Nothobranchius furzeri: one gene and its partner. The protein of the gene in region 1 purifies or fractionates together with the protein of each later gene. This does not show direct contact. Links are inferred from orthologs where the notes say so. Each region holds a gene or a part of one and is shown in the gene's direction. Other genes may lie near its edges.

Region 1 (3,439 bases):
GCAACGTGAGCTACTGTGTTGGAGTGAACCAGAGCTTGGACGTGCTCCAGCCATCTTGTGGAGTAAGAGACCTTCTGCGGCTCACGGCCATTGAGAACAACAACCAGGCTGTTCATTTCCAGAGGAACATGGCCCTGGACCACAGCTGGACCTGTGTAGAAGCTGAAAGTAGTTGGAAGAAGAATTAATCCAAGTCTGTCTAAGTCCCCCCTTAATGGTAACAGTATGAAGTATGTCTAACACAAAAAGTTTGATGAAAAACTAAACATAACTGTGGTGTTTTACCTGAAATCGATTTTTCCTGACTGTAGCTCCCCCTCTCGCCACTGTGCTACCTTGTCTGTTGGGTTAAGAGGTCCTCCTAAAATATGTTCCCAAAGGTAAAGCCCTGAGAAGAGAAGATAATTAATGACATTTGCAATCAAAGTTACATATTTAATGCTAATGCACAGTATAAGTTTCACCAATATTCTAACAAGGGGCACAAATACATCAAATGTGCTCACAGTGTTCAGATTAGTCATCTATTTGTGAAACGTGTACAAAGAAGCTAAGAGGCATTTAACATTTTTAAACCCCCAAAATTTGTCTGTAGTTATGTAAAACCAGGTTCTGATCATCTTTTGGATCTTATAAAAAGTAATTATATTTTTAAAAGATGAAAAAAAAAACTTGAAGATGTTAAAGATGCACTGTAAATAAATAAATTAAAAAGCCCCAGGTTATGACAGTCTAATAAGACTGGATCCATGCCATACCTATAGCAGCTTTCCCCCAGATTTGGACCTTGTATCTTTTGGGTTTGTTTCTGTCAAGTTTAGCCATATACTCTTTAAAGGCTTGTCTCTTTTTGTTCAGAGCAGAGTTGTACTCCACCTCCTCATCCTCCCACGGATTCCACTCATCAGCAACAAATGGAGCACCGCCATCTCTGACACCGCCTGCAAACACATCACGGGCCCTACTTAGCTCCTTTGTGTGCATTTTATTTATTAAAAAACACAATGACTAAACAAAAAAAAATCACAATAGTTGAATATCTTTGAAGGAATTCTTTTCAACGAGATTAAATGTTAAAGTGAAATCACCCGACGGCGCTCCCGTCTCCTTCTTCACCACTCTGTGAACGCGGGAGATTACTTTGTTGCTGAAGAAAACATTATATGCGGCATAAAGTGAAAACGCCACGTATGCAAAAATAATAAAAAGAAACAGCTTTCTTTTCGGTATTTTCATTTTTCTTCGCTTATCTCAGGTTACCATTGTGTAGCGCGTTTCCGTACATTTCGTGCGACGACACTTGTTTACATCATAAGGACCCCGCGTTGGAGGTGTCTTAAAATGTGCCTGCCTTGATCAGACCTTTGGCATTTTTTTATTTAAGATTTTATTTTTTAATAATTATGTTGCATAATTACACGAAAAAAATGATCAGAATATTTTTTAAAGAGGATAAGGGACATTCTAGATTATTTTAAATAAAAAAAACATACACACGTAACAGGGACGGTTAAAGGTTAGACCATTTCTGGGAAGGCAGAAAAGAGTGGCGCGCGCAAGCTACTTTAGCGCAAGGTCGTGTCCCAAGCTACCGGGTTGAAGAGACTCTTTTTGGGGCAAAATGATGTCCACAGTCACTCGCCCCGGGGTTATTTTACCCTATTATCGAGCAACAAGAAACACCTTTAAAAGCCTGGTGTTCCCGGGAGCTATGGAGCTGTTTACCGTTGCTGGTAAGGCCGAGTTAGCTAGCTAGGTGACGTTACTACAAAACCTAGCTTGTAGTAGCTCATAACTAGAATTTTAACATTACCTAAAGTATTTAGTTGAGTGTAATTAATATATTTAAACCAAAGTTCCATAACTATTTTATTATGCTACTACTCTAAAGTACTTTTGAATAAAAAGTAATACAGAACCGTTAACTGCTTGTCGGCTTCTACTTTGTAAGGTTACATTTAACACCTATCCTAATTATATCGTTAAGGATTAAACGTTTAAATATGTAAACATTTGAAAGAATATTGTAAATACAGCTTAATAAGGTGTTGTAAAGCTCATTTACCAATGTTGTCTGTCATTTCTCTTTCCAGCCCCTGCAGGAACCCGTCTGGCCCACACAGACATCAAGATTCCTGACTTCTCAGACTACCGTCGCCCAGAGGTTTTGGATCCCAGAAAGTCTTCCCAAGACAGCAGTGACACAAGAAAGGCATTCTCCTACATGTTAACAGGCGCTACCGCTGTGGTTGGTGTCTATGCAGCCAAAACGGTCGTCACCCAGTTTGTCACCTCCATGAGTGCATCAGCTGATGTTCTGGCCTTATCCAAAATTGAGATCAAGCTGAGTGACATCCCAGAAGGCAAAAACATGACCTTCAAGTGGAGAGGAAAGCCCTTATTTGTCCGTCATCGTACAGAAAAGGAAATTTCCACAGAGGAAGCTGTGAACATCGGAGAGCTGCGTGATCCCCAGCATGACAAAGAAAGAGTGATCAACCCCAAGTGGGTCGTTGTTATTGGAGTGTGCACCCATCTGGGCTGTGTGCCTATCGCTAATGCTGGAGACTTTGGGGGTTACTACTGTCCGTGCCACGGCTCTCACTATGATGCTTCAGGAAGAATAAGAAGGGGACCTGCTCCTCTTAATCTGGAGGTTCCCTACTACGAGTTCCTTGATGACAACACACTCGTAGTGGGATAAATACAGATGCTGTCCCAGTTCCTCTCCCTAAAATTGCAATTAGTTGACTCTATTTATGATTTTAGGGATCTTATGTCTACTTGTAATTAAAAAGGTATTAAGAAATGCTCTATTGAGTTAATGCAGTTCAGCCTTGAGTGAGTCATCACTTATTTTGATTTCTGTACGTGATTACAACTGCTGCACCGAGATCAATAAAGTATCTCATCCATGCCAGTATATTTCTCATTTTTCGCTGCATTTTGTACGCATTACTGGGAATTCGAGACTGTTGCATAGAAAAAAAGAATCAATTCTGGTTGTAAACAGGAGTACCACATAAAAGGTAGAAAAAAACAAAAGTGGACTAAAACACATTTTAAAAATCTTAAAATATTTTTATTTGACATTTTTTTGCATGTCATCCCTTATGAAAAAGTCACAGCCAAGTCCTCAGAGTTGTTTTGACTTAAAAGTTTTTAGATTATATTGGAGCACTTGAAGGATTATTAATAAGTAAACATAATGAATTACGATTTGTTAGATGAACACTTTAAGCTTATTAGATGCACATGACGTACAAAAGGTTATGTAAACAAAAGCAGTAATATTCTGTTTTACTGAAATAATCCAATATACTCTAAACATTCACACAATGCAACTTGATGGACGGTTTGTGCCATTATATTCATAAAAGCAATTTGGCTCATTTTTTTCCACAATTATATCTTTGTACAAATATGACCATAGGCTGTT
Region 2 (3,794 bases), on another chromosome or scaffold:
CACCCAGGATGTGAATGTGGATGTGGTAGACGGACTGGCCGCCATCCGGCCCGTCGTTGATGACAATCCTGTAGCCTTTAGCCAGACCTGCGTCTCGGGCACACTTCTTTGCAACTATCAGCATGTGACCTAACAGCTACAAAACAAAAAATAGCATTTACATGTATTTCTTCACACGCACGCACGCACACACGCACACACACACACGCACACACGCACACACACACACACACACACACAGTCCCTAGCCTGGCAAGCTCTGAGAAACTAAAAAAAATGGCTCCCTCTAGCGGTTACTGATAGTGTTGCTCTACAAGTCAGACATGATTTAGCATTTATCCACATCCCTCAATTTAAAGAAATAAATGGAAGAATCCTACTTACAGCAGCATCACTGTCCTCGGCTTGTGACAGCTGAACAATTGGTTTTTTGGGGACGACCAGGATGTGAGTGGGAGCTTGAGGAGCAATATCAGGGAAGGCAACACACTGAAATAAAAGGAACCCCATCAAGAATGTGTAGCAAACACGTTCAAAACCACGTGACAAACGTGTAAAACTCGTCCCCCGAGCTAATCGGTTGTTGTTTCTAAGATGACAAAAAAACGACAAATATGCCAAAAGGGAAAAGTGAAACTGCAAAACTGAACCATGCACAAAAGTCTGTTTTCAAACTATGTTTTCGGATATATTGTGTTATTTCTGTAAAGTTTGCACGTGGACTCGCTTTCCAGTCTGGGTAATTCAATACGTAGTAAAAACTTCCCTATGATCCGTGTGTGTTTGCAGAGCTAGCGAGAAGCTAACGTGTCCTGCAGGAAGCTGCAGCACGCTGCTCTGAAGCTGCTATGCGCATAAAATTGTCACCGAGAGGACATGTAGCTACTTACCAAATCATCTTCATAAACTAGGTTGACAGGAATCTCTTTGCGAACTATTTTCCCAAATATTGTATCTCCGCCCGGCCGGGCAACCTGTGCCTTCGCCGTTTCATCAGCCATGTTTGGCTTTCGATTGATGTGGTAGCAGCAAGACAATGTGGAAGATGGAAACCCGCTGTGACACATAATCAAACCGTCGTGAATGCTTCTTATTTTATTTTTTTAGAAATAAAAGAACTTTGTGGGCAGATACCGTATATTTATTTAATGTACACTACTAGCCTTTCAAATGTTAATTTTAAAAATTACTTGAAAAATCTTAAAGTTTCATTTTGTTTATTTCTCAAATATACGGCAAAATGGCTAGCCAAACTGGCTATTTTAGGCTAGCTAAAGCCAGGCTGAACGTTGATTGGCTACCAAATAAACGTGACTTCAAAAGCTTCGCTTATTGGTTAATGTTCACTTACCTCGGAAGTGAGAAAAAGCCAACATGGGGACTCGTTTGAAGGTGAGGGAGGAAAATATTGTAGATTTTATAAAAGTATCATTAATTAATCCACGCTTTATGATTTAAATTAATTTTGTCATTTTAGCACAATATTTTCGGTTTTTTCAATGCGGTGAATTTTGATAACTGTTGTCAAGTGATGTAGAAAGCTTTGTGTATAAATGCAGGTTTTACGCGTGTTTAAAAAGCTGCACAGAACAAGGATGGATGTGTTTAAAGAGGATGAAACAGCGCTGGGTGGTGAGTTACACAACGTTTTTTTATTCACAAAACCGCGTCTGGGATTTGTGTGCGTTAATCATAACGTTACGGACAGTTTCCGATGCAAAATGATTTTGCTGCCTTTGCATATGTCTGCATAGGATGTACTACTGATCACATGCCTGTTTTCTTTGTTGAAGCTGCAAGATTAAAGATCAATGATGAGTTCAAGAAGAATAAAAATGAAGTATCAGAAGAAAATATTCAGAAGGTATAAATGTTTAATTTTTCTTACCTACATTAAATTTTTATTTGATGCTTTCTAACTGGATCCGTTTCAAATAAGATTTCTATCTGGTCAGTAGATATTAATTTAATTTGGGTCAAAACATGGTGATACATCAGTATATCTTTTCTTGTATTTGTACAGAGTGAAAACTGAAGAGTTCTTTTCATATTTTAATATTACAGATGATCAAAATGGGCTCTGATGTGGAAACAGTTCTTCGTGAGTCTGTGGTTCAGATGGAACATGTTGGAGAAAACACACTCTGTATGAAAACATTTTTTCTCTTTTTATAAGAAATATTTGACTAAACCAACATTTACAATCTGATGAAAGAATGTCTCAAAACCTGCTGACGATTGTTATTTGACGTTGTATTGTATTTACTCTTCCTATGTCCCTCAGTGCTTCGACCAAGAGAAGGCCTTCTACGGGAAAATGTACCTTACTGTGATGAACCCAGGAAAAAGTCATGAAAGAATATCAGCAGAGACTATCATCCATCACTTTGATTTACTGTTTAAAGGATTTAACCAGACAGCTTTAAAAGCTGTTCAGGATCTCCAAAGTGATTTTTTTTTACCAACTCCTGGAAGAGAGAAGATCCCCCTTGTTCTGGATGCACATTGTGCAAACGTCCCTGCTCACACATATCATCCTTTGAAATGTCCTTCAAATGTTTTGTTTACATTTTAGTAGCTTGCTATGAAATCAGACTGGCACAAAATATTCTTTTGCTGCTATTAATCATAACTGCAGACTTGTAGCTTTTTGGCAAAAATAACTGTTTTTGAAGCCAAATGTGGCGTTCACATGAATCGTGTAGATCTGAAGAGTTTTGTTTTAAGGGGAAGGGGGGTCTTTCGTCGGCTTTGTGATAGATAGTTGCTTTTTTAGATCAAAAATGTGTCTGACACTACATGCCATTTCCCACAAAAGCTATTCAATCACAACAGTGCTTAGGACAATTAAAAGTGCAAAACATTTAAGAAGATTTAGCAAGGTAAAAAACAGTTTCCTCTTTCAACATCTCAGGCTGTGGGAGAAACGTGCTCTTAAAAAGTACTGAAACCCTATTGGAAATGTCCAATTCTTGTCTTAAATTTAGGTTATAAAATCCATAATGGGTCCATATGTTAGCTTTCAATGTCTTTGAGCAGCTTTAGAGATATTTATGCTGCAGTTCAAGGGTGTAAGAAATAAATAACATGAAATTAAATGTTTGGCTTAGTTTATTTGAAACCAATGGTCTCATTTTTAGACATGCTTAAGCATGGGCCAAGTTGAGTTTAATGCAGAAAATAATAAAACTAAAAACCCATAAACTTCCAGTAATATCTGGGATGTTTATTTTTATTCTCCTTCACTAACCAGCTAACTACAAACTTCAATCTTGTTCAGTTTGCACAGCACAGTCCAAGAAGGGCAGTTGGTTGTTGTGTGGATCTTCCCTGGTGAACTTGATGTTCTTGTCCATTCTGGACAGAGAAGATAGATGGTTTGAGAGAGGAGTAAAATAAGCTGTCTATGTCAAACGTGAAAAAGAAACCAAAGAAGTTGCATTCCTCTGAACCCTTTGGATTACCATGAACTGAATGACCAAGAATGTTGGTTATTGTAACCGATTGTAACCCCAGATTCTATGAGTCTAGTCGCAGCCCTTAAGCTAGCTATACAGGTGCTGGCCAGTAAATTAGAATATCATCAAAAGGTTGAAAATATTTCAGTAATTCCATTCAAAACGTGAAACTTGTACATTATATTCATGCAATGCACACAGACCAATGTATTTCCGATGTTTATTACGTTTAATTTTGATATTTATAGGTGACAACCAATGAAAACATCAAATCTGGTATCTCAGAAAATTAGAATATTCTAAAGGCCAATGAAAAAATGTTTGTTTCTCTAATGT

Evidence for each region.
Region 2: the proteins of cytochrome b-c1 complex subunit Rieske, mitochondrial (region 1) and lyrm7 purify together in Homo sapiens (co-immunoprecipitation; 5 studies listed by BioGRID and IntAct, with this or other methods). This does not show direct contact. The link is inferred for Nothobranchius furzeri from reciprocal best matches to the Homo sapiens genes UQCRFS1 and LYRM7.

The regions. Positions count from the first base shown.
Region 1 is NC_091744.1:78,630,390-78,633,828, reverse strand, and holds cytochrome b-c1 complex subunit Rieske, mitochondrial, read left to right. Parts: upstream 1-1,451; 5' UTR 1,452-1,621; coding exon 1,622-1,733; intron 1,734-2,093; coding exon 2,094-2,704; 3' UTR 2,705-2,920; downstream 2,921-3,439. Other genes in the region: rxylt1 (ribitol-5-phosphate xylosyltransferase 1), read right to left, coding at 1-162, 286-388, 759-941, 1,089-1,236.
Region 2 is NC_091752.1:25,367,601-25,371,394, forward strand, and holds lyrm7 (complex III assembly factor LYRM7), read left to right. Parts: upstream 1-1,304; 5' UTR 1,305-1,374; coding exon 1,375-1,392; intron 1,393-1,559; coding exon 1,560-1,632; intron 1,633-1,793; coding exon 1,794-1,864; intron 1,865-2,064; coding exon 2,065-2,146; intron 2,147-2,284; coding exon 2,285-2,355; 3' UTR 2,356-3,098; downstream 3,099-3,794. Other genes in the region: adenosine 5'-monophosphoramidase HINT1, read right to left, coding at 1-136, 385-489, 891-1,001.